Linked DNA regions of Macaca mulatta. The protein of the gene in region 3 binds, or shares a complex with, the protein of the main gene of each other region. Links are inferred from orthologs where the notes say so. Each region holds a gene or a part of one and is shown on either strand. Other genes may lie near its edges.

Region 1 (10,973 bases), on a different chromosome or scaffold from region 3:
GCGTCAGTCACGGTGGCTCACTCCTGTAATCCTAGCACTTTGGGAGGCTGAGGTGGTGGATCATGACCTCAGGAGATCAAGACCATCCTGGCTAACACGGTGAAACCCTCTCTTTACTAAAAATACAAAAACATTAGCTGGGCGTGGTGGTGGGTGCTTGGAGTCCCAGCTACTTGGGAGACTGAGGCAGGAGAATGGCGTGAAACTGGGAGGCGGAGCTTGCAGTGAGCCCAGATGGTGCCACTGCACTCAAGCCTGGGCGACAGAGCAAGACTCCATCTCAAAAAAAAAAAAAAAAAAAAAAAAAAAAAAAAAAAAAAAAGTATATCATTGGGATGCAATTGGGTTAATATTCAATAACTTATCAAAGAAGGAAACTTTTATTGTTTCTTCCAGACCACTCAAAACAGTCAACAACATATATTAAACTTAACACAAATTTTAACTTTAAAAAAAATTCTCAATATGAAGTTCTTTTACAGAGTTGACAAAGATGTCAGTAAGATGTAATAATAAAAGCAATTTGTATTAATTATCTATGATGATATGGACATTGTACTATATTTTTTAGCAGAAGTATGTCCCTATGCAAGTCTTTAATTAACAATGTAAATTCAGCAATTATGATCTTATTAGTAAGTTTTCTACATAAGATGATTTACTTTTATTAAAGGAAATATAACAAATACTAGAGACAGAAGAGAGCTGAGAATAGAATGGAGTAAGTAATAATAAAGTCACAATACTAAGAAAGTTATATGTTTGTTGTCATAATATACAGCCAGATTATCGCTAGGAGAGATTTTTAGAAATTAATATTGAACCCTGGAGCTTCAAGGTAGATGTTTCCATTGAATCATAAAATAGGATTAATTCAACTAAAAATCATGGGGGAGCTAGCAGTGGAAGTATTGTTGGCTTGTAACAGTATTAATACAGAGACTTATTTGACTTATTTATATTGCATTACTTTCATACCAAGTATAGAAATACTATAAAATAGTATTTTAATAGTACTATAGTACTTTAATAGGATTTAAATAGTATTTAATGGTATTTTAACAGTAGCATAAGATACTACAAAATAGTATAGTATAAAATACTATAAAATGCAGTACAAATTGCATTTTTACTTATTTACATTGCAATACTAACAAATGCAAAGTATTCTTTTTGCTGAATTTGATGCATTTCTTCATTATACATTGTTGACTGTGAACACTTATGAATTAACTGTTTTATTATTGTTATCTTTATGAGGTGCTTAATTTCTAGCTGAGAAGTAAAAGTTCAACAGTATGATACTTACTCTCAACTACAATGATGTATTAATATAAGAAGTATAAACTCTTAAACTTAAATTAATAAATTCTAATAGGATTTCTATGTTGTCAAGTTTAGAGTAAATAATTCAATATATTCACCAATTCTTTGGGAGTAAACACATGGGGTATGAAGAAAATAAATTACTATGTAAAAATAAACTATGTCTAAAGTATAAAATAAATACAAAATAGCAGATGTTTACATGGAAAGGCAGGATCAGTGGGAGTTATTTTTAAAAGGTGAAAATATGTTCCATTGTATTTATTGATATTATCCTTCAAATAAATTCTTTTCAAATAAAATATTTATTTCATTATGCATAAAAACCTTAAAATACAACTTGCAAATTACTCTGTATTAGTCAATCATTTCATATTTTTCAGTTAATGTGAATTGAGTAAAATATCTTGAAAATTAAAAACACCTCATAATGTCACTAGCTCAAAATGACCAATATGTTTGCAATAGCATTTACTAAAATCTACATAATGCTTGTCACCTGCCAGACACTATACGATTTAAATACATAACTTATCTAATATTCTTAAGGTACCATTACTACCCCAGGTTAGTTATCTTGTTCATATAGCTAGCACTAACTGACATACTCAGGAATCAAAACTAGGTGGTCTACTTAGGAGAGTGTACCTTTAACCATTGCTCTACCCCACCTTCTGAGGAAAATGATTCTGCCAGGGTCTGCTATATATTTGAAAATCATTACTTAAACTATAATCAATCAGAGATGTCAAGTGTGAATATGCTTTTCTCATTATGAAAGTGAATTTGTGAGTTACAAGCAATGAAAAGGAAAGTGAGCATAATAAACGTGCCAAAAGATTAAACAGTTCAAATGTCAAGAACAGAGATAGTACAGATAAAAAGCAAATAATCATATTTAACATTTGAGGTCATACCATTTAAGTTATCTACACCTACCAAAAAACTACATTGATATCACTTATAAATTATGCTCCAAGAGAACTGTCTCATTAACCTTGTTAAAAACATTAATGGTACTTTATTTGTAAAATAATAAACTCATCAAAATGTTTAAACAATGTTATTGTTTATTAAACAATACTATTCATATATCTCACATTTTTATGGAAAAAAGTCAATCTTTACAGAAAATTTGACATAATTTGTTTTTACCTTTTCAAATACAAAGAAGTATAGAGATTTGACTCTATTATTTTAGCCTGAAGTCAGTCAAGAAGAAAGTATGACTCTTAATAAATGTGGATCTACTTTCCTTTGAAGGTATCTTTGAAAGGAGCAGTAGGAGGGAGAGCAATGTAGATCTTCTCTAAAACTGAATTTCAAAGGATTTATTTGGCCCATCTTCCACATGGGAAGAATTAGAATTTTTTTTTTTTTTTTTTTTTTTTTTTTTTTTTTTTTTTTGCCTTTTATTTCCCATTGTGAGATCCTAAATGGGAAAATAAGTCCAGGTTATGTAGGTCTTTATGCGGTATTACAGGCATTAGCAGCCATAGTGCAAGGAATGTAGGACACAAAGGCCTGTGTAACTGGCTGCTGTGAACTTTAGTGGCAAACCTTAAAAAAGGGAAAAGAAAAAGGAAAGAAGACCTTTAGCACTTCCATATAGATCTCAACATCACTCAAAAAACTTTCTTCAACTGGGTCTGATGCATTAATGAGATCATAGAATTACTGCTAATTTAGCATTACATCCTTTGGTGCAGAAAGTTTATTATTATAAATAAAATGCCATCATTCATAAAAAGTAATTGGGTGTGACAATAAGCCATATTTTAATATGTGGTTTATTACTGTGTGGATTAAAAGCAGAAAGCTTAAATTAAAAAGAGAATTCCTTGAATTTAATTAAACAGTTTTAAAAATTGTTTTGCAGGTATTTAAACAGTGTAGAAACACTATGATATATATATATATACTATGTAATATGTCTTAAAATCCCAACAACTCACCTCCTTTTAAAATTATGACAGATTAAAATTATGATAACTGTAATGTAAAATTAGGCAAACAAGTGAATAAAAATTGAGTAAATAATGCAATTTTACCTGGTGCACTTAGTAACAATATTCTTATTATTCAAATATTATCTTTTCTTTATAAAATCTTCCTTAAACTATGATATGCATGTAGTTTCTGTATAATACCCAATGTTGGAATGAATATTCAAAAATCAATCTCATTAATGTTTTAAAAATGCAACTGCTAAACAAACATGGTTAAGTTTTTCAGCTATGCTAGTTTTTTGCCTCTCTCAAAATATAACTACTGGGCCAAGAATTTCTAAATGATTTTCCAGTAAAAGACATCTGTATTGAAACCTAAGACACACAGGCACTATAGTAAAGCTTCTGAAATTTTCATTTTATAATCATAAATAAAATTAATCTATGATTTAACAAGGAAAAGATTAGAATAGCAATATGAATCATATTTAAAAGAAAGTACAAGAGAATTACTTAGTCCACACAAGGTAAAAGGAACTTTTTTTTGTTTTGTTTTTTGTCAATAGTGATTCAGGAGATGAATCGGGTTCCTATGGGTTTCTGTGAATATCATTATACAAATTTATCATCAATGAACCAGTGAAGCACGAAATAGGGTTAATATAGAATGAAAAGAGAGTTTCTCCTCAATATATCACTTTATAAGCATATATTCTAGTTTTAAAAGCAATAATCTTCCACATAAAATTCAATACAAGAGTGATCACAGACCACATTAGATCGAATTATGGCAGGATTCAAATAATATCGAATCCAGGTCCTCATCTTATATAGGAATCCGTGGCATATGATCATTTCAGCTTCTTCATGGATACCCACAATGATGGGAACTTCATCACAGGGTGCTCACAAATTGTTGGAAAACTCTGTTAGAAAGCTCATGATTTAATCAAAGTAAAGCGGCTTCATCCTTTAAAATTTCTCATAGATTTATCACCATTTTGTCCTGTGGGCTATCACAGGATAGTCAGAATTCCTTTTCTTACCTGATAGCTTTTCGCTATTTAATGATAGCTTTTATTCTCACTTCTCCAAGTTAAGTCCACTGCGTTTCATAGAATACATCTATAATACACAATAATCTTTCTTTCTCTTTTGAATTTACTCTTTGCTAATGTGAGTTTGCCAACATCCTCCTCAACCAGGCGTGCTCAGAATTGAACACAACATTTAAGATGTGGTGATCATTGCAAACTATAATAGGGCATCCCTTTGTAGGACTCTATTAAGTCCAATTTAATAACACTTAACTTTTGCAGCCATGTTCCACGACAAATACCAAGCATTTGGCCAACAAAACGATGCTCATTAGTTGCGTAGTGGACTTTTTGTACCCAAAGATCTTAACATTTATATCTATTCCTATAAGGTATTATTTTCACGTCGAACATGTTAACATGAAGCTTTGTATTTGAACCTTAGGTATCTTATCTTCAAAAATATCAAGATACTCTATTTTCTTTTCTACCAAACTCATATCCCTTCAGTGTTGTATAGTATGGAGCTACGTTGACTTATAATAGCTATCTCAATTAATTAATACTCTTAATACTCAAGAATCCCCAAGAAAAACATTTTCTTGTATGGCAATTTACATTTGAGAAATTTTGTCCAAGACTCCTTTTTCTCTTGTTTACTTTAAAACAAGTTTTTTAGAGAATAATTTTACAGTGCAGTACATCTCCGTAAGAGCGTTTCTTGGTAGTTGATCACGATTAAGTGGCAAAATGCAGGTAATGACATGCTCAATTCCACCTTTGAGTAAGGACAAACAGTGTAACATCGACGACAACAACAACAACAAACCCTTAGGCTGATATGCCTGTGCCACAAATATCCATACATACCGCACATGAATTGTGCAGTGAGGAAAAAAAAAAAAAAAAAAAAAAAAGCTACTACTTTATTCTACTTAAAGTTGTCCTCTATTCAAACTTTTATCTCACTCTTCTCTCCTTCTGCACCATAATTTTCTTTCAAGCAAAGACAGAGAGTTCTGGATGATTCCAGTCTCTCCAAATCTACATCACAGCCTCCAATCGAGGTTCTTTAAAGTCAGGTTGGAGCTGAGGGAGCCTGGGCTGGAACCAGCAAGGGTTTCATCCAGCTCCTCCTCCAAAACACGCCCCCCAAATCGGAGCCAGAGGAGAGCCCAACCACAGAGAACTTCCACTCTATGAGGGCAACCTCTGAGTAAAGTCCTGCCTACAACCATTCATCTCCTCCGACCCCCGCCCAGCACTAGACCGCGCTCCTAGCACCGCGCCTTCTTCCGGAGCCTCCTCCGCTGGGCTGGCTAGGGGTGAGCGCAGGGGTTAGTCAGTGCGCACGTGACGCGCGATGCCCACATGACAAGACCGTGGGCGGGGGAGGGGGACAGCGGAGCGAAGAAGGGGAAAAGTTACAGAAGACCCGTCAAATCGCCCAAAGCAATTTGTCTCTTCCCTTCCTCGCCAGCAGTGGCTCACGGATCCCTAAGGGACAGCTGGGAACCCAGGCGTCTCCAGCCCAGCCCCAGAAACGCTGGACGCAGTTCTCCGCTCACCCCACCACCCTCTCTTCCCAGACCCGCTGGTGATGCCGCTGCACCCTAAAGTTGCTCCTTCCTTCTTTCTCTCCCTTCCTCCCTTTCCTTGTTTCTTTCTTTCCTTCCTTCATTCCCCAAAAGCTCTTCATCCACTTAGGGTGATGCCACTGACGCACATTCAATTTGCCCCAGGATCTCTGAGGAGGTCAGACCAGGCCGAGCACCTTCCAAAGGGGAGGGTCTAACTGAGCAAACAAAGTTGCACGCCACACCGCAACCTGCCCCTCCCCTCCCTTTAGCCCCCAAGTGGAATCCCCGGCGAAACTCATTTGCACTGCGGGTCCCCTCTGGCCCCTACCCCATCATCGCGCAACACACCCCTTTCAACATGCGCGCCCACCCTTTCATTGCCCTGCGCCCCGAGCGGTCCCACCGCCCGGCAAAACACTGAGCAAGCCGCTGCGCTCACCTTGCTTGACACACTTGAGCCGGAGGGGGTCCTTGCAGTGTTTGATCACGGCCAGCACGTCCCTGATGGTGAGCCCCGCCACGGGGGTCTCGTTCACCTCCAGCAGCAGCTCCTCCGACACCAACTTGCTGCCGCTCTCATAGGCCACCTTTCCGGGCTTCACCTCCCCCAGGTAGGGGAACTGTCCATTCTCGGCGCCCCCCTTCAGTTCAAAGCCCAGCTGGCCCTCCGGGTTCCTGCCAATGACACTCTCATGGACTTTGCTAGTCCAGTGGCTTTTCTTTTTCAAGCTTTTGGACATGGCAGTGGGGTGAGTCGCCTCAGTTCCTGGGGCTCCTTGGGGTTAGGGGGGTTGGTGGTGAGAGAATGAGGATGGAGGAGCAAGGGGGCCCAGGGGGAAGAACAGCAGACTTTGCCTTCTCCCCCCTCTATTCGGTGCTTTCCCTCTTCTTTGGATGGAGTGTGGACGAGGAAGGGGGAGGATGAGAGGGACGGCTGGGCAGAGGTAGGAGAGCTTGGGTGAGGTTGTGCTGTCCCTTGAATGACACTCAAGGCTGTGGCCCCGCAGCAGAGGAAGCGGTGGTGGTGGCGTCGGCGGCGGCGGCGGCGGCAGCGGGAGCTAGCAGTAACCGAGCTGGTGAGCGGGTGCGGTGGGGGTGGGGAAGGAGGGTAGGGATGCCGGGGGCCACTCCTGCGTGGTGCGAGTGGGAACGCGCGCGCGCGCCTGGGTGTGTGTTGTTAGCTGATATCCATGGCAGCTGCAGTGGCAGGGTGCGTGTGCGTGTGTGTGTACTAGTTGTACTGTACTGGCATAGGGGAGGAGGCAGGGGAGGAGGGGCGCGCGCGCCGGGTGGGGAGCCAGGGAGGGCTTCGCCGCTGCCTCCCTCCCTCCCTCCGCAGCTTGACCCGGTAGTGAAGGCAGAGAGAGAGGCAGGCTGGGTCCGCCTGGCAGCCTACGGGAGGAGGCGGGAGCCGGGAAGGAGGGGAGCCGAGGCCCGGCGTGGGGAGGCCGGCAGGAAGGGCCTCGAGCCAGTGCGGACCTTTCTTCAGCCTCTGTGCCGCCGAGCCGCGCGCCAGGCTGCTGTGCGAGGAGGACGCGCTGACTTCCTCCGACCTGGGCTCCTATGGAGCAGAACTAGCGGGACCTGGACTTTGGCGCTCCTGGTGCCACATCTTGGGCTCTGCGAGCCTCCTGGCGCGGGATCCTGCCGTGAGAAGGAACTGGGGCGGGGGACCCGGCGGGGCATTGCGGGAGAAGGCCTGGGAGCCCTGGGAGACTTGTGGCCTGGGGGAGTTCACTGTGTAGAGAGGTTTCATGTCTTCCTCTATACAGTCACTTATTTGTCTCAAAGTTCTCGAAATTCCCTCTTAGAGAAGGAGAAAGTTAGAGAACTGGAGGCTGCGTACCCTGATTGCGCAGAGGGGAAGCAGCCTCGCGTTCCCCCGGGCAGGCCCCCTCCCGCGCGTCCCGCCAGTAGGGGAATTTCGCGGAGGGTTGCGGTAGTCTAGTGAAAGGCTATCCAAGGGTAAGGGGCTTCGCTTTTCCCAAGCAGGGGAAACAGAAAGGGTCTACAGGGCTAGGGGTGGAGGTAACGGATGCAATGAGCAGCCTCCGCAGAGAAAATGGACAATTTAACTAGGGACCTGCGGCCGAGAGAAGGCAGAGGCGCTCCCCTGCCCATGAAAGCCACCAGAGTCGGCTTGTACCTGGGGAAGAAACCTTAAGACGATCTGGCCCAACACTCCTTTAGTCACAGAGAAAGGGGAGAAGGCTCCCGAGAGTGAAAATGGCACAGTCGGAGCTGGAACTCAGCTCGCTGACCCCAACCAGTGTTCCCTTCTTTTCGCCAGGTTTGCATCCAGGAGAGGGGAGGATAGGGGCAAAAAAGGATGCAGGGAGGCTGCTGATTTCCACAGGAGAGCTATTTTCTGTGAGACATTAACAGTGATTTTTTTTTTTAATTCCTGTAACTGGTAAATGAATTTCATTTGCTTAACTTTTAAATGATATGTTTCAGACAAAAAAAAAGTTGCACACCCACTTATCTCTTTAAGGCAGAGGATGAAAAGCACTGAACAGGTAGGATTCTTAATGTCTGAGATGAAGGTGATGTCGGAGGCAAACAGTACAGTTAAAAATGTTGAGTCGACACAAACAGAAACACCAGGTTTCAATCCAAACTCTACTGCTTACTGAGAATGTGATCTTGAGTAAACTGACTTTCCTGAGCCTCAGCTTTCTTAGTTGTTAAATGGACTTTAAAAATACTAATCTGTTAAGACTGTGATGAGAATGAAATCAGGGAAAGCAGGCACAGCAGTGCTCTCCTGGCACAGGTGAGTAGGCGTCCGAAATGATAATTCCCTTCCTCTTTCCCTCAGGTATAACTTACTACTTGGGGATGAGGGGGATCAAATGTAGTCAGAACTGGAAGAGATCTTAAAGATGATTTGTTTAACCTTGTGTCTTTTTTCACTTGAGAAAACAGATCCTCCATAAGTTGGCTGCACTAGTGAAGCTTATTCAGTAAGCCAGGGGCAGTGCCAGGATCTGAAGCCAGATCTGCAAGCAATGCCCAGGAGTAGGCAAGACTTGATAGCAAAGCCTAATCTCACCCAGAGAAGTTGAGTGTTAGCATTATGAGGCATAGTTCTAAATAGAAACTCATTATGAGAACCGAATATTTATATTGTAAAACCAAATGGCAAGCTACCATTCATGGAAGATACTAATATTTATTAGGTTCTAACTACATGCTAGATGTTGTTCTATAGGCTTTACACATAATACTTCATTTCTCCTGACATTTTGATAAAGTAGGTACTGTTATCTCCTTTTACAGGTAAGGAAACTGAGGTATACAAGGATGAACTTTTGCAAGGCTACAAATCTAGTTAATGGTGAAGGTAACATTCAGACCCAAGTGGTTCAGCTCTAGACTTTGTCTCAGTTACTGAATTGAACTCTCTGTTCACTTACCATGTGTCATACCAGCTCTCAGTATGTAGTGTCCCAAAAGATTGGGCCTGCACTTTCTTTCAGGGGGCAATTAGGAAAAAAGTAAACAAATGGAGCAGGATTTGGGCATAACAGCATGCTTCTCCCATCCCCCAAATCCCAGAAGTGTCACTGGGGTGTGTGCCAGTTAATTTAGCACTCTTCAACTTCACAGCCACCCTTCTTTGCCCTAAATTGTGACATTAGAGTTGAAATCTGTAAACGTCTTTATGGTCAGTTGGCACAATGTTTAGGTTTGTCAATAGAAGGTGCTAAGGAAACACTGCAGAAAGAAAGGGGCTCCTTTTCTTGGTTCCAGTGCTTTCCTGCTTGCTCCTACGGTGTGGTGGCCAGTGAGTGACTTTCTGACCAGTGGTGTGCAGGAAGGCCATGTTACATAATCTTCAGTAAATTTGGCCAGTTCCCTAGTGTGTGTCTTTCTATGGAGTGCTGCTGGCATGTCAGTGGAATGGCTTCCTAGCAAGTTTTACTGAAAACACAGCTGATGGTTTCCTCAGCAGCCCAGTGTGTGACACCTTAAATTTCTGGATCATTAAGTGGACCACAGCCATATTATTTCCAATGAGGTCCTACTCTCAGGCTTAGTAGGGTGGCGGGTGGGTAGGGGGAAGTTCTTCTTAGTTATTCTCTCTTTGGGTACTCTCCTGTAGCCTGACAGATAGTGACTATTCCCAACAATCACTATTGCTGTGTTCTTTAGTGGGCTTTTTCCCTCTCCTAATAGTTAACACGCTTTGACTGGATCTTGATTGATAAAAGTTGAACCCTGAGGAAAGCACTATCCTTGGAGTCAGAAATTGGGATCAGACTATATTTTTTCTCTCTATTTTGGTATTCCTCACATTCACTTTATTTACCCTTTTTGGATTTTATGCTATGTCAAGAAAAAATTATTTCATCACTAAGCACTCCAAGTGTAGAGCAGAACGCTAAATATTGCATACTATTCCAGAAGAAAAATAGTTTAGGAATCCTAAAAGCCAAAGAAAGAAAGATATGAATGCATTCAGTTCTTAGAAGAGTTCTATGGGATAGATGCTTGTGGCAGACATGGTCTCCACCCAAATCTCCTAGGATCCCTTTGGTTGAACTGAGTATCCTTCCTCTAGCTTCTGCATTCTTTTGCTTCTTGCAGGCTTCCCCGAGACTCTCTTTGGAGGAATGCCCAAACACTACTAGACCCACTTTGTCTACTGACTCAGAGAGCCAGACAAAACCACCTGCAAGTTTACTTCTTTCCCAAGATGCCCTTTGCCAAGGACTTTCCTATAGAGTATAAAAGACCAGCCCTCTTGCCTCTAGTAGCAAGAAAACCTGAGGTGTAATTTACACTCTGAGACTCCCCTGTAGAATTATATTGATGTTAGGATTTTGCCTGAAACCTCCTTCCCTATCTTGCTTACTGTGGTACATGATTAGTTTTTCCCGATAGCATTTCTATAATAAATCACTTGCAGAAACAATCTTCATCTCAGAGTTTGATCCTGGCGATCCTGACTTAAGACATTGCTATTCTTTCTTTGTTTCTTTTTTTTTTTTTTTTTTTTCTTTTACAGATGAGGAAACTGAGGATCAGGGCTTTTAAATTGCCGCAAATCACACTACCAATAGGAGGTAGAGTTG
Region 2 (9,303 bases), on a different chromosome or scaffold from region 3:
GTTCCACCCATCACTCGTTCCCATCAGCAGAGGGATCCAGGAATCCCTTTGCCTACTCGACGTTATGAACCTTTCACCTGGCTGCAAGGCCCATTTACTGCACTTGTTGATGTGTTTTTGTATGCAAGCCCTTACTGTTCACACATGTACTCATCATGCAGCTCTTCATGAAATACATTGGGGACCCAATCTGTGCCACAGCACACACTTTAACAGAGTAACAATAGGACACTGACCTGCCTCGGTGCCTGCCCAGGAAATCCCACAGGGCAGCCCTTGCCAAAGGAGGAGAAGGGCTGGTCACACCAGGGCCTTCTGCTAACAAGCGTGCCCTGGAGTACAAGTCTGCTGGCACCTCTGCCCTGCTATAATAAGTTTAAGGGATTTAGGGGTTGATCAAGGAGAAAAATATAACCTCAAAATGGTGTTAGCACACAAGTTTTATATTAGCTGTGCTTTTTTTTTTTTTTTTTTTTTTTTGGAAGACATGTTTTCTCTCTGTCGCCCAGGCTGGAGGGTGGTGGCATGATGGCTCACTGCAACCTCTATCTCCCAGGCTCTATCGATCCTCCCACCTTAGCCTCCTGAGTAACTGGGATGACAGGTGCATACCAATATGCCCGGCTAATTTTTGTATTTTCTGTAGAGATGGGGTTTCACCACGTTGCCCAGGCTGGTCTCGAACTCCTGGGCTCAATCAACCCACCTCGGCCTCCCAAAGTGCTGGGATTACAGGCGTGAGCCGGCGTGCCTGGCTTGGGCTACACTTTGACAGGTTTGCATGCCGGGGAAGCCCCTCACAGCATGAGACCTTCCAAAGGTGCTGGGGGCTACTGCCCGGTGTGGAGGAAGGCAAGGGAACTCCCAGGGGAGAGCTGGGGAAGAGGGGCCATCTAGGTTAGGTAGCTCTGCAGGACGATGGGGAGTCTCTGGGTCAGGGAACTCCAAAGCACAGCAGCAGCTCGGGGTCTCTTACAGGCCCAGGCTTTATCTATGGCTAGCAAATGTTGGGTACAATTTCACAGGGTATGCAAAACTGGAAGGTTGTATATTTAAAAGTTGCTTATTTGAGCTATATTTAAAACAACTGGAAGGGTAAAAATTTGAGTGTGGCACTAGCAGGCTTTTAAGGTCCCAACAGGTCCCGCACTGCCATGAAGAAACAATGTAGGGCCAGTATCCAAGGGCCATTCTCTACCCCTTTATGAAAAATAACACCTGCCACTCTGTGATCACCACCCACGGCAAGAAAGACCTTTGCTAGTTCTCTCTGCACACAGCCAGACTCGCTGAGAGTACCTTACAGAGGGTGCCTACCTGAACCGTCAGGACCATCAGCTGAAATCTCAGTGCTCAGGGCAGGTGGTGATGCCCTACGGCAGGAAGATGATGCTGGACTTCTTAGGCCTGGACTGATGTGGGAGCTTCAGACTGACTCTGGCAGCTCTGAAGTTCCAGAAAAGTTTATTTCTTTCTTATTTATACCCTGTTTACTTATAAACAGGATTATAACAAGAGCATTGAGGGGAAAATAGAAAATTGGAAGGCTTGATGGAGGAGAGGAAATAAATATATCCCAAACCTAAAGTAACCTAATAATAGTTAGTTATTATATTGATCTTTGAGCTTCCTGGTAGCCAAGGCAAAAAGAGATCAGAAAACAAGTGCCTATGTGCCCTACCTTAACACTTGATCTTAGTCAAAAGACTGAGAAGTAATACGTGCCCTGACTTAAGAAAAACAAACTGAGAAAACTTGACCTTTCAAATAGTTAAAAAAAAAAAAAAAAGGTAACATCTATGACTTCTAACAAAGAACCATTGAAATGATGGCTTTATTTACCAAAATTCTGTCTTTGTGCAATGTTTTCAAGTATATGGTACATGGCTATTTTAGGGCTGTCTGTGGTTTGTTCTCAAAAGTGTTTGTATACATTTACATTAGGAGGAAGGGACATAGTGTTATACCCAAGCCTCTTAAGAACTACTGCATGGCTTGGGACTGGGTTTCTACCACTTCTTAGTAGTCTGACATTAAAGAAATTTCTTTTTTTTTTTTTTTTTTTTTTGAGACGGATTCTGGCTCTGTCGTCCAGGCTGGAGTGCAGTGGCCGGATCTCAGCTCACTGCAACCTCCGCCTCCCGGGTTTACGCCATTCTCCTGCCTCAGCCTCCCCAGTAGCTGGGACTACAGGCGCCCGCCACCTCACCCGGCTAGTTTTTGTATTTTTAGTAGAGACGGGGTTTCACCGTGTTAGCCAGGATGGTCTCGATCTCCTGACCTCGTGATTCGCCCGTCTCGGCCTCCCAAAGTGCTGGGATTACAGGCTTGAGCCACCGCGCCCGGCCTAAAGAAATTTCTTACTATGCTGGAGCCTCAGTTCCCTGGGTAAAATAGAGGTAATAATGTCTACCTTCCTGAGTGGCCTGAGGATTAGAGGTAGTACACATTTCACCAGGCAGCCCTCATCTCCTCAATTCCTCAGATCCACACAGGTATTCTGTTTCCTGGCCCCAAAAATCTACTCACTCAAACAGATGATTTGAGCACTTCCCATTATGGTTCTGAAAGAAGTGGATCCCACGGGGAGCAGGAGTGAGGGTGCCATCCCTACAGGAGCCCCCTCTATTGTGATAGGGAGTTCTCCTTGCCCCTTTCTGGAGGACCCCTCCACTGACTCAGGGCCCTGCTTGCTTTGCCCAGCAGATGGACCAAGCAGAGCACAAGGGTGAGCTTCAGACAGACAAGATGATGAGGGCAGCTGCCAAGGATGTGCACAGGCTCCGAGGCCAGAGCTGTAAGGAGCCCCCAGAAGTGCAGTCTTTCAGGTAAGCAGAGGGCCCCGACAGCCCCCTCTCCCTTTCTCAGCCAACCCATGGCCTTAGTCTTCTGTCTGTGGTCTTACTGCTCCCATCCCTTGCTCACAGAGCACTGGCTTTCTCTGTAACAGATGTTCATCCTCCGCCAAGCCATCCCTGGCGATCCATGAGCTCTGCAGCACTCTTCCCCCAGCTGTCTTTATCAGTCCCCACACAACTCGAGCTAATTTGTTAGATCCTCTTGTTTAATGAATAAGCCACCTGCTCCAGCCTTTCCTCGTAGTGTTTTCATCACTGGTAATTGTGGAGGGTTGGCTGAATGATAAATAAGCCTGTGGGTGATGGATGCTCGCTGGGCCTCCCTGGCTCTGCCTGCCACCTGCTAGGATCCCAGGGAGGTGCTTTCTTGCCATGCTGGACCCGGATGTATTCTCAGAGGGTCCCAAATGCCATTTGGCCTGGGCCTCCCATCCACGGAGGCCCTAGCATTTAGACTTCTGATGTCCTCTCAGATAAGGTACACATGTTGTGTATGTGCTAAAAAAAAATTCCTTTGTGGAATATAAACATTTAAAATGTACATTTGTACAACTATCTTTGGGCATCTCTTAACTTTTGAACAAATTGAGAATCTAAAACAAACAAACATTGGAAGTGGCCAAACTCTGAAAAGCCTCTGATTTGATTTGAACTAAAGGTCATTGTTCATGCTAATGGTCTTTAAAGCAGTGGTTCTCAACCAGGCGTGATTTCTCCCCTTGCCCCTGGAACATTTGGCAATGAGCATGCATTTTGGGTTGTCGTAACTGGAGGTCAAGGATACGGCCAGCGTCTAGAGGGTAGAGGCCAAGGATGTTGCTAAACATTCTACAGTGAATGTATAGGACAGCCCCCATGACAAAGAATTATCCTGCCCAGAATCTCAGCAGAGTAAGGTTGAAAACCCCTGCTCCTGCTCTAAAGGGATGGTCTCTCTTATAGGGAGAAGATGGCATTTTTCACCCGGCCTCGGATGAATATCCCAGCTCTCTCTGCAGATGATGTCTAATCGCCAGAAAAGTATTTCTTTTGTTCCACTGACCAGGCTGTGAACATTGACTGTGGCTAAAGTTATTTATGTGGTGTTATATGAAGGTACTGAGTCACAAGTCCTCTAGTGCTCTTGTTGGTTTGAAGATGAACTGATTTTTTAGTTTGGGTCCTACTGTTGTTATTAAAAACAGAACAAAAACAAAACACACACACACAAAAAAAAACAGAAACAAAAAAAAAAACCAGCATTAAAATAATAAGATTGTATAGTTTGTATATTTAGGAGTGTATTTTTGGGAAAGAAAATTTAAATGAACTAAAGCAGTATTGAGTTGCTGCTCTTCTTAAAATCGTTTAGATTTTTTTCAGTTTGTACAGCTCCACCTTTTAGAGGTCTTACTGCAATAAGAAGTAATGCCTGGGGGACGGTAATCCTAATAGGACGTCCCGCACTTGTCACAGTACAGCTAACTTTTCCTAGTTAACATATTTTGTACAATATTAAAAAAATGCACAGAATCCATTGTTGGGGGGAGGGATTCAGAGGTGCATCCATGGATCTTCTTGAGCTGTGACGTGTTTTTATGTGGCTGCCCAACGTGGAGCGGGCGGTGTGATAGACTGGGCGGGCTAAGCAGCCCAGTCTATGTGGGTAACAGGCCACGCTGGTCTCAGATGCCCAGTGAAGCCACTAACATGAGTGAGGGGAGGGCTGTGGGGAGCTCCATTAAGTTTTATCTCCATCAATAAAGTGGCCTTTCAAAAAGAATCTTCCTCTTGCTCTCTTTTTCTTTCCTACCCCTCACTTCATCTGTTTCCCTGATTTTTGAGTCTCCCCTTTCCAGTCATTTCTTTCCCACCCATCCTGAGTCCTGGAAACGTTTATTTTTTTCTTTTGCCCACTGTTTTCATTTGCTCATTAAATTAAAATGACGGCTCGGCTCATTGGGAATCCACATGCCCAAGTTAGATTGGGGATATGCTCTCTGTACTGTCTCCTTCTATGGAATTCCACCCCACCCAATGAGAGCTGACTTCACCATTTCTTCATATGAGCATCATTCTGTGTCATCCCCAACCCAGGGGTAGTAGATGCTACAGCTTGTGCTTCATGCTGCTCCTGTGGCCCCTATCCCTACCAGGGTCTATTGCAGACAATCAGAAGTCAGCTTCTAACAAATAGCAACAACCACAAATCTCTTCCTCCTTTCTCTCTGACATTACCCTGTGCAACTTTTCTCAAAGTCTGTTGCACCACCCAGCAAAGCATGTTGCACCAGCTGTATCAGAATCACCTGGGGCAGCCTATTAAATATACGGACTATTGAGACCATCCTGGCTAACACAGTGAGACCCTGTCTCTACTAAAAATACAAAAAATTAGCTGGGCGTGGTAGTGGGCACCTGTAGGCCCAGCTCCTCGGGAGGCTGAGGCAGAATGACGTGAACCCCGGAGGTGGAGCTTGCAGTGAGCCAACATTGCGCCACTGCACTCCAGCCTGGGCGACAGAGCGAGACTCTCAAAAATAAAAAAGAAAAAAAAGGGCGTGCCCAAGATGGCCGAATAGGAACAGCTCCAGGCTCCAGCTCCCAGTGTGAGCGACACAGAAGACGGGTGATTTCTGCATTTTCAACTGAGATACTGGGTTCATCTCACTGGGGCGTGTCGGACAGTTGACGCTGGTCCGTGGGTGCAGCCCGACCAGCAAGAGCAGAAGCAGGGCAAGGCATTGCCTCACCTGGGAAGCTCAAGAGGGAAGGGAATTCCTTTTCCTAGCCAAAGGAAATTGAGACACACAACACCTGGAAAATTGGGTAACTCCCACCCTAATACTGCGCTTTGCCAAGGGTAGCAAATGGCACACCAAGAGATTATATCCCACACCTGGCCCAGAGGGTCCCATGCCCACGGAGCCTCCCTCATTGCTAGCACAGCAGTCTGAGATCTAACTGCAAGGTGGCAGCGAGGCTGGGGGAGGGGCATCTGCCATTGCTGAGGCTTAAGTAGGTAAACAAAGCCGCTGGGAAGCTTGAATTGGGTGCAGGCCACCACAGCTCAAGGAGGCCAGTCTGCCACTGTAGACTCCTCCTCTGGGGACAGGGCATAGCTAAACAAAAAGCAGCAGAAACCTCAGCAGAGGTAAATGCCCCTGTCTGACAGCTTTGAAGAGAGCAGTGGATCTCCTAGCACAGAGGTTGAGATCTGAGAACGGACAGACTGCCTGCTCAAGTGGGTCCCTGACCCCTGAGTAGCCTAACTTGGGAGACATCCCCCACTAGGTGCAGACCGACACCTCACACCTCACACAGTGGGGTACACCCACAGCAACACTCGCTGTTCAGCAATATTCTATCTTCTGCAGCCTCCGCTGCTGATACCCAGGAAAACAGCGTCTGGAGTGGACCTTAAGCAAACTCCAACAGACCTACAGCTGAGGGTCTTGACTGTTAGATGGAAAACTAACAAACAGAAAGGACACCCACACCAAAACCCCATCAGTACGTCCCCATCATCAAAGACCAAAGGCAGAGAAAACCACAAAGATGGGGAAAAAGAATGCAGAAAAGCTGGAAATTCAAAAAATCAGAGTGCATCTCCCCCTCCAAAGGAACACAGCTCATCACCAGCAACGGAACAAAGCTGGACAGAGAATGACTTTGACGAGTTGAGAGAAGAAGGCTTCGATCAATCAAACTTCTCAGAGCTAAAGGAGGAACTACGTAACCAGCGCAAAGAAACTAAAAACCTTGAAAAAAGAATGGATGAATGGATAACTAGAATAATCAATGCAGAGAAGACCTTAAAAGAACTGATAGAGACGAGGCCGGGCGCGGTGGCTCAAGCCTGTAATCCCAGCACTCTGGGAGGCCGAGACGGGCGGATCATGAGGTCAGGAGATCGAGACCATCCTGGCTAACACGGTGAAACCCCGTCTCTACTAAAAAGTACAAAAAAAAACTAGCCGGGCGAGGTGGCGGGCGCCTGTAGTCCCAGCTACTCGGGAGGCTGAGGCAGGAGAATGGCGTAAACCCAGGAGGCAGAGCTTGCAGTGAGCTGAGATCCGGCCACTGCACTCCAGCCTGGGCGACAGAGCGAGACTCTGTCTCAAAAAAAAAAAAAAAAGAACTGATAGAGATGAAAACCATAACACAAGAACTACATGACAAATGCACAAGCTTCAGTAACTGACTCGATCAACTAGAAGAAAGAGTATCAGCGATTGAAGATCAAATGAATGAAATGAAGCAAGAAGAGAAGTGTAGAGAAAAAAGCGTAAAAAGAAATGAACAAAGCCTCCAAGAAATATGGGATTATGTGAAAAGACCAAATCTACGTTTGATTGGTGTGCCTGAAAGTGACGGGGAAAATGGAACCAAGTTGGAAAACACTCTGCAGGATATCATCCAGGAGAACTCCCCCAACCTAGTAAGGCAGGCCAACATTCAAATTCAGGAAATACAGAGAACGCCACAAAGATACTCCTCGAGAAGAGCAACTCCAAGACACATAATTGTCAGATTCACCAAAGTTGAAATGAAGGAAAAAATGTTAAAGGGCAGCCAGAGAGAAAGGTCGGGTTACACACAAAGGGAAGCCCATCAGACTAACAGCAGATATCTCGGCAGAAATTCTCCAAGCCAGAAGAGAGTGGGGGCCAATATTCAACATTCTTAAAGAAAAGAATTTTAAACCCAGAATTTCATCTCCAGCCAAACTAAGTTTCATAAGTGAAGGGGAAATAAAATCCTTTACAGACAAGCAAATGCTTAGAGATTTTGTCACCACCAGGCCTGCCCTACAAGAGATTCTGAAGGAAGCACTAAACATGGAAAGGAACAACAGGTACCAGCCATTGCAAAAACATGTCAAAATGTAAAGTCCATCGATGGTAGGAAGAAACTGCATCAACTAGCGAGCAAAATAATCATAATGACAGGATCAAGTTCACACATAACAATATTCACCTTAAATGTAAATGGACTAAATGATCCAATTAAAAGACCCAGACTGGCAAACTGGATAAAGAGTCAAGACCCATCAGTTTGCTATATTCAGGAGACCCATCTCACATGCAGAGACACACATAGGCTCAAAATAAAGGGATGGAGGAAGATCTACCAAGCAGATGGAAAACAAAGAAAGCAGGGGTTGCAATCCTAGTCTCTGATAAAACAGACTTTAAACCATCAAAGATCAAAAGAGACAACGAAGGCCATTACATAATGGTAAAGGGATCAATTCATCAGGAAGAGCTAACTATCCTAAATATATATGCACCCAATACAGGAGCACCCAGATTCATAAAGCAAGTCCTTAGAGACTTACAAAGAGACTTAGACTCACACCCAATAATAATGGGAGACTTTAATACCCCACTGTCAACATTAGATCAACAAGACAGAACGTTAACAAGGATATCCAGGAATTGAACTCAGCTCTGCACCAAGCAGACCTAATAGACATCTACAGAACTCTCCACCCCAAATCAACAGAATATACATTCTTCTCAGCACCACATCACACTTATTCCAAAATTGACCACATAGTTGGAAGTAAAGCACTCCTCAGCAAATGTAAAAGAACAGAAATTATAACAAACTGTCTCTCAGACCACAGTGCAATCAAACTAGAACTCAGGACTAAGAAACTCAATCAAAACCACTCAACTATATGGAAACTGAACAACCTGCTCCTGAATGACTACTGGGTACATAACAAAATGAAGGCAGAAATAAAGATGTTCTTTGAAACCAATGAGAACAAAGATACAATATACCAGAATCTCTGGGACACATTTAAAGCAGTGTGTAGAGGGAAATTTATAGCACTAAATGCCCACAAGAAAAAGCAGGAAAGATCTAAAATTGACACCCTAACATCAAAATTAAAAGAACTAGAGAAGCGAGAGCAAACACATTCAAAAGCTAGCAGAAGGCAAGAAATAACTAAGATCAGAGCAGAACTGAAGGAGATAGAGACACAAAAAACCCTCCAAAAAATCTATGAATCCAGGAGCTGGATTTTTGAAAAGATCAACAAAATTGACTTTTGTTCTAACAAAAATAAATGTTCTTGTTCTAACAAGACTAATAAAGAAGAAAAGAGAGAAGAATCAAATCGACGCAATTAAAAATGATAAAGGGGATATTACCACCGAACCCACAGAAATACAAACTACCATCAGAGAATACTATAAACACCTCTATGCAAATAAACTAGAAAACCTAGAAGAAATGGATAATTTCCTGGACACTTACACTCTCCCAAGACTAAACCAGGAAGAAGTTGAATCCCTGAATAGACCAATAGCAGGCTCTGAAATTGAGGCAATAATTAATAGCCTACCAACCAAAAAAAGTCCAGGACCAGACGAATTCACAGCCGAATTCTACCAGAAGTACAAGGAGGAGTTAGTGCCATTCCTTCTGAAACTATTCCAGTCAATAGAAA
Region 3 (10,943 bases):
TTGCCAAGTTGCCCAGGCTGGTCTTGAACTCCTGGGCTCAAGCAATATGTCCCCCTCAGCCTCCCAAAGTACTGGGATTATAGGCATAAGCCAGCGCACCCAGCCCTTATTTCTAACATACTGGGTTGGAGGGGTTATCCAAGGGTGGCTTTGGGTGCCTTGAAAATTAAGCTGATGGTTCTTTCCTCAGATCACTGAGTTCCCCAAGCCAGAGTTCATGTCCAAGTCTCTGGAAGAGCTGCAGATTGGCACCTATGCCAATATTGCTATGGTTCGCACTACCACCCCCGTCTATGTGGCTCTGGGGATTTTTGTACAGCATCGAGTCTCAGCCTTGCCAGTGGTGGACGAGAAGGGTGAGAGATTGGGCAGAAGGAGAGGGAGGGAAGATCCAGGCAAGTCAGGGTGGCTCCGGGAAAATCTGTTTTCCCCTCAGCTTAGCCAGGAGGGTGATTCTGTGAGTAGGGGGAGCTTTAGACCCCAGATCCTCCTTACTGAGCTGCCTCTGTCCCCCTAGGGCGTGTGGTGGACATCTACTCCAAGTTTGATGTTATCGTGAGTGATTTTGGAGGGTTTGGGAGGTAGGGAAGGGTGGGGGGTGCTATTAAATATGGAGAGGGAGAAGGGAGTCTCTTCTGTGATCTCAGGGTCTTAGAAGCTTCCAGGCTTTCAAATCCTATTTGAAAAGGAATTGAATGAGTTGGGTATGCCTTGTGGCTGACAATTGCCCTGAATCCCTCTGGTGAGGTTGGATGGGTTCAGGGTTTGGAGGCTGGCTTTCTTGCTTCCCTGCAAGCTCCTTCCTCTGTCTCCCCAGAATCTGGCAGCAGAAAAGACTTACAACAACCTAGATGTATCTGTGACTAAAGCCCTGCAACATCGATCACATTACTTTGAGGGTGTTCTCAAGTGCTACCTGCATGAGACTCTGGAGACCATCATCAACAGGCTAGTGGAAGCAGAGGTAGGGAGGCCAGCAACCCTAAAGGAGCTGAGGGGAGCAACCTTGAGAGTGGGGTTTGGCAAGGAGAGTAGGGGCAGAGCTAAACATTCCAGCATTCCAGTGCTGAGGCCAGCACTAAACATTCCCTTTTTCCCTTGTTGTTCTGTGCCAGGTTCACCGACTTGTAGTGGTGGATGAAAATGATGTGGTCAAGGGAATTGTATCACTGTCTGACATCCTGCAGGCCCTGGTGCTCACAGGTGGAGAGAAGAAGCCCTGAGCTGGGGGAAGGGGTCAGGCAGCACCAGGGGATATGCCCAACTCACTGCCTGCTGGAAGCTCTGTGGGAATCAGATGAAACTTGGGGGAATTGTGACTCTGTTCCCTGCTCAGGGCCCCCTGCCCTTCTATCTGGGAGCTAGGGAAGGTATAGGGGGAGGAAGGAGAATGGATTTATAGCTACCCTTACCCTCACACATACACTTGAAAAAACTTTCAGCCTAGCCAATTCTAGCCCCTGTCTTCTTAGACATAGCCCCCTTTCTGGGTGAACTATAGGCTCTGTGCCTCTCAGACAAATCCTGATCTCTAAGAGATCCCCAGACCTCACTTGCCTCTGCCTCCATCTCAGCCCTGATTCAACCCTAAGATAACAGCACAACAAAATTCTTCATAAAGATATTTTTATTCACCTGTTCCATGCTATATGGAGGAGGCTAAGTCCATTTAGTGACATTTCTTCCCATAATGTGAGTGGGGAGGATTGTGGGGAGGAGGGGCTTTGGGTTCCTGTGTTTGTGCATATGAAGGGAGATGGGGGTTAGGTGGAGGAGGAGGGCAGCGTGATTAGCTAAGGTTATTGCTTTTTGTGGCAAATCTAATTAAATGACAGCTATCTCTTCATGGTATTGCAGTGTTTGATTTTTACAGTTGATGGATACTACTGTCCTACTTTATATGGCTTCTTCAACTGGTCATTAATAATAACGTGTGTACACACACACACACACGTACACACACAAAACTGTGTGCCAGACATCATTCTCAGTGCTTTACATATATTAACTAATCCTCAGAACAATAGTAGACACTATTCCAGTTTTTTACAGATTTTAAAAAATGGAGGCACAGAGAGGCTGGGTAACTAACCCAAGACCACACAGCTAGTAAAAAAAAAAATGGAGCTAGGATTTGAACCCAAACAGTCTTTACTGCTACAGTAGACTTCCGACTTCTAATTCTTTCACAACTACTCCTTACCCTGTGGTTCCTCCTTTCTATCTCACTTTCCCCTCTGCCTGAATCATGGCTGGTACCCAAGGAAAATCCTGTAACAGTGTTAGTGTCTACTCCCAAGAGTAGACAGACTTGAGGGTCTCCTTTGGGCAGAGAATCCTGCCACCATTATCAGCTTTTCTTAAGGAAGGTTGGACTGTTTGGCTTTTGCTGAGTTGGCACTATTTTTTTTTTTTTTTTTTTTTGAGATGGAATCTCGCTCTGTTGCCCAGGTTGGAGTGCAGTGGCGCAGTCTCAGCTCACTGCAACCTCTGCCTCCTAGGTTCAAGCGATTCTCCTGCCTCAGCCTCCTGAGTAGCTGGGATTACAGGCGCGCACCACCACACCTGGCTAATTTTTGTATTTTTTAGTAAAGACAGAGTTTCACCCATATTGGCCAGGCTGGTCGCAAACTCCTGACTTTGTGATCCACCTACCACAGCCTCCCAAAGTGCTGGGATTATAGGCATGAGCCACCGTACCCCGTTGGCACTATCTTTAAACCTGCAAATCCCTTGCCTTTCTTCCAAGGTGAGACAGAGCTGGATGGTGGGAGAACAGCAGGGCACTGGTCACTCCATCAGATCCATTCCCTGTACTGAAACCATGTAGACCCAAACAGCAGTCAGCACCCAACACCAGAACTGCTAGACTGGAGTATGAGCTAAATTTGGGTGCCAGCTAACCCCTGCCTTACAGGTATGATACAGTTTCCTATCCAAACCAGGAGCAATTTCAGAGTCATTGCTTGCCCCTTCCCCCACAGTGCTGCTAACCCCTTCCCTGACAGTGCCTAACCCCTCTGATGACCCTCCAGCCACGGCATACTGGGTTCTCCAAACTAGGCTTCCCGATGGAACACAGGGAAAAGCATCAAGGCCCTCATCAGATTCGACCTGAGGAAGCTTATTTTAAAAAAAGAAGGTGGCCCTCATCAGAGCTCTGCTTTCAGTGTTGCATCATGACTGTAGAGGAGCCCCTGCTTCAGCCTTCACCCCTTTACAGCTCTCACAGCACATTCTCAAACTTGGGGGAGGAAGGCTTCCAAGTTATTAGAATTAGAGTATGTTTATGTGTGGGGAGGGTAAGTACATGGTGGAAAGGACAGATGGCCTCTTATGTCACATTCCCTCATTAAGGAAGATTTGCCTAGGGAGGAGGCAGGGGCTTTAAAAAGCCTCAGGATTCTAGTGGGACCTAGGGTGGAAGGAAGCACCTTCGAGTCAAGTCATCGGTGCAGCTGGCAGGTGTGTGGAATCAAGGGGGGTAGGGTGGATGGGACAGGGAATGTTTGCATTCTCTCTAAAGGTTTGTGTTAGGGAGCAGAGGCCTGGTTTTGTTGAGCTGTTAGTCAGTCAGTCTCTGCCCCACGACAACCTTTCTGGTTGTTCCCCATCCCCTTAAAAGGAAGGGTCTGGACCCAAAGGGCTCCATGTACATTAGTGGAAAACTAATTGGGAACTCTTGCTTCTCTGATTTGCCCCTAAAACCCAACCTATCAGTCTCAGTGTGAGGATGAAGCTGAGGGAGAGACAAGGGATAAAATTTGGGAGACTCACAAGCTTCTATTCTTACCTATTCCTCTCCAGAGGCAAATTATCCCTTCTTCCCGAGGAACCATTGCCACACACACACTCTCTTTCCCCTCTCTGCACCCCTCCCCTCCACTGAGGCTGCTGCCATGGTTGCCAGGCATGGTTGCTAAGTCTCTGCATGGAAGGGTTGGCGTGGGCTGTGCTGCCACTAACATTACCATGGTGAATCAGGGGACACCTGGTATAAGCTTAGGAGGAGGGATCATGTGGATGTAAGCAACAGCCCCCCAGGACAGAGGCAGCCCAAAGGTGAGCATCTGGAGCACCACTTCAGGTGGGGGCTGAGTGAACTAGGCAATTGTTGTGGTGAGGGGGAGCTCTACATTGGGGAAAAAAAAAAAAAAGGCCACTTTTATCATTTCAGTTGCTAGGGGATTAGTTTTGCCAAGCAAACACACCATCTCTCCTCCATCCCCCTCTGGAAGGGTGAGAGTGCATAAGCACTTACTCTGTCCTCCATAAAGCTGGGCAGGCTGTGTGGGCACAGAACAATATAACCCCCAAATCCTGCTTCTAAATTGGAGGTGAAAGCCTGCTGCTGTGGGAGGGCTCCCTGGCTGCCCAAGGACAAACGTAGAATGGGACTGGTAGGGCAGCTTGGGTGGCCAAGGCACACGCCTGTGTCCTGCTGTACCAGCAATCCTAGGCTGCAGCACTGAGCTGGCGAGGAGATACGGGTGTAGGGGTCACCCTTTTTGAGCTTAGGGAAGGCAGCTCTCCCTCAGAGTCGCACAAAGCTTGGTGAAAGCCACCGCCTCCTCTCTCCACCGCATGGGAGCTGGTTACTCATCTCATCTCTGCACCCGAACAGCCACTGCCGCTAAAAATAGCCCCCCAGCCGTGGGCCAGCCCCTCCTGCACCCCAACCCCATGGAAACCAGCAGAGTGGCAGGCAGAGACCTTGAGTTCCATTCTCACGCACTCTATGTTGGGGAAACTGAAATCTGAGGCAGGAAGCCAGGGGCAGAACCCTGGTGGTCAGGCAACCTGACAAGCAGGAGAGTAAAGGGTTAAAACGGCAGGAAGGTTGAAGAAACAGGGACGGGGGAGGGGGCACTGTCAGCTTGGCAAGAATCATAAGTCCCTCCCCCGCCCACTCGTGCGATCCCATCAGGCTTGGGGGACAACAGCAGTGGGAAGGGGCGTCCAATCCCGGGCCCCAGGGGGCGGCCGTGCACATGGGGGAGGTAGCAGCGCGGAGCAGTCCGCGCGGTGTCACATGCGCGCGCACACACAGAGACAGGCACACACACGTGTGCCCGGGTATATATAGTTCCCAGTCCCCGGGCCCGCGGCTCTGCAGTGGGCGCCGGCTCCCTGGGCTGGGAGGGGGCTCCTGGGGCGGGTGGGAGGGTGGGGGGCCGGGGTGGGGTGGGGCAGGATGCTGGATGGCCCACTGTTCTCCGAGGGGCCTGACAGCCCCCGGGAGCTCCAGGATGAGGAGTCTGGCAGCTGCCTCTGGGTGCAGAAGTCCAAGCTATTGGTGATAGAAGTGAAGACTATTTCCTGTCATTATAGTCGCCGCGCCCCTTCTCGACAGCCCATGGACTTCCAGGCCAGCCACTGGGCTCGCGGGTTCCAGAACCGCACGTGAGTGAAGCAGGGGTGAGGGGAAGAGAGTGGTGGGGCGGGGAGTGGGGTCCGGACCACCCCGCAGGCACCAGCGAGCACTACTGATCCCCCTTCTCTTTCCCACGCCTCCCACCCCTGCCCGCTCCCGAAGGCTGGGGCCTGACTCATCCGGTTGTTTGGGGGAACAGGAGTGGGTGTGAGAAAGGGCAGGAGGTGAGATGGGGCAGACGCTGTTAAAGTGTGCAGGCAGAGATGGCGAGGAGTCCCGCTTCGACTTCAGTCCTAACATATACGCACGTGCACACGCGCACACACTCACACACACCCCTTCACATGGCTGCCCCAAGTGGTCTCCACTGCTCCCAGCTCCCCGGACCTCGGCTCCCTTCCCCCACAGACTGCTCACCTGGGTTCCTGCTCATTGTCCCAGGTGTGGGCCGCGCCCGGGATCCCCACAGCCGCCGCCCCGCCGGCCCTGGGCCTCCAGGGTGCTGCAGGAGGCGACCAACTGGCGGGCGGGGCCCCTGGCCGAGGTCCGAGCTCGGGAGCAAGAGAAAAGGAAAGCGGCGTCGCAGGAGCGGGAGGCCAAGGAGACCGAGCGAAAAAGGCGCAAGGCTGGTGGGGCCCGACGAAGCCCCCCGGGTCGGCCCCGCCCGGAGCCCCGCAACGCCCCTCGGGCAGCCCAGCCGGCAGGGCTCCCTGCTACCTTGCGGCCGGAGCGCCTGGCGCTGGTGGGGCGAGCGCCCCGTCCATCCGCGCAGCCGCAGAGCGACCCAGGGTCGGCGTGGGCGGGGCCCTGGGGAGGTCGGCGGCCGGGGCCCCCAAGCTACGAGGCTCACCTGCTGCTGAGAGGTTCTGCCGGGACCGCCCCGCGACGCCGCTGGGACCGGCCGCCACCCTACGTGGCTCCACCTTCTTACGAAGGCCCCCATAGGACCTTGGGGACTAAGAGAGGCCCCGGACACTCCCAGGTGCCCACTTCATCAGCCCCACCTCCGACTCCGGCCAGGACAGAGGGAGGGCGCACAAAGAAGAGGCTGGATCCTCGGATCTACCGGGACGTCCTCGGGGCTTGGGGTCTCCGACAGGGGCAAGGTCTCTTGGGGGGATCCCCAGGCTGTGGAGCGGCCAGAGCAAGGCCAGAGCCCGGCAAGGGGGTCGTGGAGAAAAGCCTGGGGCTGGCTGCTGCTGACTTGAACAGTGGTAGCGACAGCCATCCCCAAGCCAAAGCTACAGGGAGCGCAGGCACCGAGACAACTCCTGCGGGGTCTGCAACTGCGGCTCCCAGTGCCCCGCGTCCCGCTCCCAGATCCAGGCACCACCTCAAGGGCTCGAGGGAAGGGAAAGAAGGAAAAGAACAGATCTGGTTCCCTAAATGCTGGATTCCCTCCCCTAAAAAGCAGCCGCCCCGCCATAGCCAGACACTCCCCAGACCCTGGGCTCCCGGAGGCACCGGATGGAGAGAATCCCTGGGTCTTGCAGAGGGGGCAGGACCGGAGACCCTGGAGGGTTGGAAGGCGACCCGCCGTGCCCACACCTTGCCCCGCAGTTCCCAGGGCCCGTCCCGTGGGGAAGGAGTCTTTGTCATTGACGCCACGTGCGTGGTGATACGATCCCAATATGTTCCAACCCCCCGAACCCAGCAGGTGCAGCTTTTGCCCTCTGGGGTGACACGCGTGGTGGGGGAATCCGCCAGCCAATCGAAGCCCGGCAAGGAGGAGAGTGAAGGGGCCACGGTCTTTCCTTCCCCTTGCCGAAAGCGGCTGTCGAACAGTCGCCTTTTACACCAGCCCGGCGGGGGCCGCGGGGGCGAAGCTGAGGGCGGGAGGTCGGGGCACTCCTCACTGGAGGAGCGCACCTCCCGCATCTTGGGGCTCCCGGCCCCGGAAGTAAACCTGCGGGACGCCCCCACGCAGCCAGGTAGCCCAGAGCACCAAGCCTTAGGCCCAGGAGCTTCGGGAGCCCAGGGCAGGGCCGAGGGCTCGGAAGTGGCGGTGGTCCAGCGGCGCGCGGGCCGGGGCTGGGCGCGGACCCCAGGGCCCTACGCCGGGGCCCTGCGAGAAGCCGTGTCCCGTATCCGCCGCCACACCGCCCCTGACTCGGACACGGACGAAGCTGAGGAGCTTAGCGTCCATAGCGGCTCCTCTGATGGAAGCGACACAGAAGCCCCAGGCGCCTCCTGGCGGAATGAGAGGACCCTGCCCGGGGTTGGAAACAGTTCGCCGGAGGAAGATGGGAAGACAGCGGAACTGAGCGACAGTGTCGGAGAGATCCTAGATGTCATAAGCCAAACCGAGGAGGTCCTCTTCGGGGTGAGGGACATCAGGGGGACTCAACAGGGAAATAGGAAGAGGCAGTGAGAGGCCCCTTCTTGTATTTGAGTCCCCAACACATCCATCCTTGGGTCCACTGGTCCCCATTCTTCCCCAGACTTCCTTTGCTTCTCTTTTCCTTGTATCCTTACCCATACCTATTCCCATCCTTGAAATATAAATGAAAGGAAGGGAAGCATATGCCCATTAATGATTTTGTTTCAGGAGAGGTGAGAATCAGCAGTAGATTTAATTAATGTCTGTTATGTTCAGGACACAAGGGTGAGCTCTTCGCAGCTGATGCACTGGGTGCGGAGCTGAGCAGAGAGGCCTAACAAGGATCAGGCAGGAGGGCAGGGGTGGTGGCAGCTATAGGAGGGCAGTGTAGGGCAGGGCCTCTGAGGAGGAGGGAAAAAGTGAAGGAGAGGCTTTGGACCCGGTGGCAGAGTGACCAGATGACAGAGGGGTTCTTGGCAGAAGAGGAATAGGTCCAGCAACAACCAGCAAAGCAGAAGGAGGGCTCACCTTGGTGTCACAAGTCTTGGATTTCAATCCCAACTCTGCCACTGACTTGCTGGTTGACTGAGGCCTGTCACTTTCCCTCTCCAGGCCTCCTGGTATATAAAACAATGGTATTCTAAGGTCCATCCTTCCATCTCTGACATTTTGAGATCTTTGGAAAGGACTCTATCTCATCCTCCCCTCGACAAGCCAAGAATGAGAGTTGGGAATAAGTGAACAGAGTTTGAGGGTTTCTGGGCGGCCTCCTTGTCACCTGAAGTCATGATCAATTCAGGAGACTGCCCAAGGTTTGCAGAAGAGGTAAGGGAGTGAGGCACTCCTATCCCAGTCTCCCAGGTTTAGGTGAGGGCTCCCCAAAGCAGGGCAAGATAGTGGCCCTGTCACTGACCCTGGCCTGTGGTGGTCTGAGCTGGGGAGGGAAGGACACCAATGAATCAGCTTGGGACCTCTTTAGGCCTTCCCCTTTTCCTCCACCCTAATGCTCCTTAGTGATGCTCTGAGGCGTGGCCACGATTTCCCTCCCAGGTGGTATCGCCCACCTGAAAAAATCCTGAGAATGTCTCCCATCTCGGCCTCTTCCGAAGAAACTGGCCACGCAAGGAAAGAGGCCGGTCCCCAGAAGCCAGTGGGCGTGGGGTGTGATACTCTCTATAGCCACTACAGGGCGCGCGCAGGTCGCGGATCTCCCCAGTTGCTAATTCCGGCTCTGCCACTCAATCCGATCCCTAGTTCCCAAGCGCGGGTCCCCAGCCTTGCAGTCTCCAGCCGTGCTGGGCCGGGAGCAGGCCTCCGGCCTCCCAGACCTCTGGAGCCCGCCGGTCCCATCTTTGTACTCATCCACCCCAGCCGGCTTGGGACTCAGACACCGAAGTCTTTTTTTTTCTCTCCGATCCTTGGACACCTCTGTCTGCCATTTATTAGCCATGTGAACTTGGCCGCATCACTTCACCTCCCTGAGCCTCAGTTTCCTCATCTGTCAAATGGGGGTTTATAAACACCTACCTCGCAGGGTTGTTGTGAGGACTTAATGCGATAATGTATGTAAAGCGCCTTGCACACCGCCTGGCACACAGTAGGCGCTCAATAAATCTAAGCTTCCCTTTATCCAGCCTTGGCATGGTCTTCCTTTCACTGACCTTTTCCCCATGGTGGCCATCCCCCAGGACTCCTCTGCTATGTCCTGCTCTGTGTGAGGGAGAGGGGGCTGCTTTCTTCGTTGGGAGTTCCTGGCCCACCTCTTTTCTCCCCCAGCCAGGACTCTCCCTTCCTTGCCCCCAGCCCACCCCTGTTGGCACTTCCCACTGCCCTGCGCCCTCCCCCGGCCCCCCATTCCGAGCAAGGGCTGAGTCAGCCGGGATAAATTTAGCTGCCGGCTCCGCGGGCCCGGGGGCTTCTCCCAGACTCAGTCGCCGGGTCCTGCCCCGGCCCCCGGCCCACCTCTGCTCCCACTCCAACCCAGACCTGCCAACTCCAACTCCCGCTCAGCGTTCAGGTCCCCAACCCCGCTCTCAAACCACTTATGGTTTTAGTCTCCAATTATCTCAACATCACTCCCGCCTGCAACCAGGGGTACTCTGAGCAGAACTCGGAGTGGCACAGGACCACCTGGGGTGGGGGGTGGCCACCATCTGGCAGGAGCTGGGCCGCTGGCCTTGGTTCAGTGGAGGAAGGTCTCCTCTTTGGGTTTCTGAACCGGAGGGAAGACACTGGTCAGAGCTATCCAGGAAGATTCATCCCAGAGCCTTCCTGGAACCCACACTACCAGGTTTCAAATTAGCTCTTGCTGGAGGAGTGTCACCTTGGGCAGAGATCAAAGGTTACTGAGATCTGCCCTTGAGGTCAGGAATTCCAGACCAGCCTCCAATATGGTGAAACTCCGTCTCTACCAAATATACAAAAATTAGCCAGGTGTGGTGGCACGCACCTGTAATTCTAGCCACTCAGGAGGCTAAGGCACGAGAATCGCTGAATCACTTGAACCTGGGAGGAGGAGGTTGCAATCAGCCAAGATTGGGCCTCTGCACTCCGGCCTGGGCAACACAGCCAGACCACATCTCAAAAAAACAAACAAACAAAGGTTATTGAGATCCGTCTCCCTTTCACCTACAATTCTATCTACTCAAAAAAACAAACAACGGTTATTGAGATCTGTCTTCCTTTCACTTACAATTCTATCTACCTACTACCAATTCTAACTACTGAGCATGTACTGAGCACCTACTGGAAACAAGAAACTGTGCGGGAGTCCAGGATAGGGATGAGTAAGGCCTTTCTGACAATGGGGTGAAGGTGAGCAATGTGTCAAGTATTACAATGAGTCAAACAAGGGAGACTGTATGGATTTTGTGAGATAAGGGAAGGCTCCATGGAGGAGATGACCTCAGCGTTAGAATTTGGTGAAGAGGTATTTCAAGTAGAGGGATCAGCCAAAATAGAGGCATGGATGCAGGTAAGCAGGGTATGTTTAGGAAACTGCTCAATGGTCTGATTTGCCTGCAGCTGCGAGTACATTAATGGCAGTTGTGGAAGATAAGGCAAGAGTGAAAACTGAGGCCAGACTGGGGTAAGCCTGGTCCAGCTGAGGAGTAATGTGCCTTGGGCCTCCAGGCTTGGGAAGAGGCTGGACTTCGGGGGAGGAGGAAAGTTGAGGAAGGGCGGTGTGTGGTGGCTCACACCTGTAATCCCAGCACTTTCGGAGGCTAAGATGAACAGATCACCTGAGAC

The links.
Region 1: the proteins of DDN (region 3) and MAGI2 are in contact, whole or in part, in a crystal structure (PDB 6KKG), measured with the Mus musculus proteins. The link is inferred for Macaca mulatta from reciprocal best matches to the Homo sapiens genes DDN and MAGI2. Residues at the interface, in NP_001013763.1 of Mus musculus: Asp222, Arg223, Pro224, Pro225, Pro226, Tyr227, Val228, Ala229, Pro230, Pro231, Ser232, Tyr233, His237, Arg238, Thr239, Leu240, Gly241; in NP_001164217.1 of Mus musculus: Glu308, Met309, Ala310, Tyr311, Thr312, Glu313, Gly315, Tyr318, Ile320, Asp321, His322, Lys325, Thr326, Thr327, Ser328, Trp329, Asp358, Tyr361, Tyr364, Val366, Asp367, His368, Arg371, Arg372, Thr373, Gln374, Phe375.
Region 2: the proteins of DDN (region 3) and WWC1 are in contact, whole or in part, in a crystal structure (PDB 6J69), measured with the Mus musculus proteins. The link is inferred for Macaca mulatta from reciprocal best matches to the Homo sapiens genes DDN and WWC1. Residues at the interface, in NP_001013763.1 of Mus musculus: Tyr227, Val228, Ala229, Pro230, Pro231, Ser232, Tyr233, His237, Arg238, Thr239; in NP_740749.1 of Mus musculus: Glu13, Glu14, Ala15, Arg16, Asp17, Tyr23, Ile25, Asp26, His27, Arg30, Thr31, Thr32, Ser33, Trp34.

The regions. Positions count from the first base shown.
Region 1 is NC_133408.1:140,030,992-140,041,964, reverse strand, and holds the start of MAGI2 (membrane-associated guanylate kinase, WW and PDZ domain-containing protein 2), read right to left. Parts: upstream 7,123-10,973; 5' UTR 6,969-7,122; coding exon of another isoform or gene 6,873-6,968; 5' UTR 6,633-6,872; coding exon 6,332-6,632; intron 1-6,331. Other genes in the region: uncharacterized protein LOC106997532, read left to right, coding at 6,873-6,968. UniProt on the Homo sapiens protein: Seems to act as a scaffold molecule at synaptic junctions by assembling neurotransmitter receptors and cell adhesion proteins. Plays a role in nerve growth factor (NGF)-induced recruitment of RAPGEF2 to late endosomes and neurite outgrowth.
Region 2 is NC_133411.1:177,312,711-177,322,013, forward strand, and holds the end of WWC1 (protein KIBRA), read left to right. Parts: intron 1-2,703; coding exon 2,704-2,828; intron 2,829-3,800; coding exon 3,801-3,867; 3' UTR 3,868-4,620; downstream 4,621-9,303. UniProt on the Homo sapiens protein: Regulator of the Hippo signaling pathway, also known as the Salvador-Warts-Hippo (SWH) pathway.
Region 3 is NC_133416.1:56,159,415-56,170,357, reverse strand, and holds DDN (dendrin), read left to right. Parts: upstream 1-5,106; 5' UTR 5,107-5,149; exon of another isoform or gene 5,150-5,194; coding exon of another isoform or gene 5,195-5,403; intron 5,404-5,528; 5' UTR 5,529-5,603; coding exon 5,604-7,745; 3' UTR 7,746-9,323; downstream 9,324-10,943. Other genes in the region: PRKAG1 (5'-AMP-activated protein kinase subunit gamma-1), read left to right, coding at 191-356, 518-555, 818-964, 1,116-1,223. UniProt on the Homo sapiens protein: Promotes apoptosis of kidney glomerular podocytes. Podocytes are highly specialized cells essential to the ultrafiltration of blood, resulting in the extraction of urine and the retention of protein.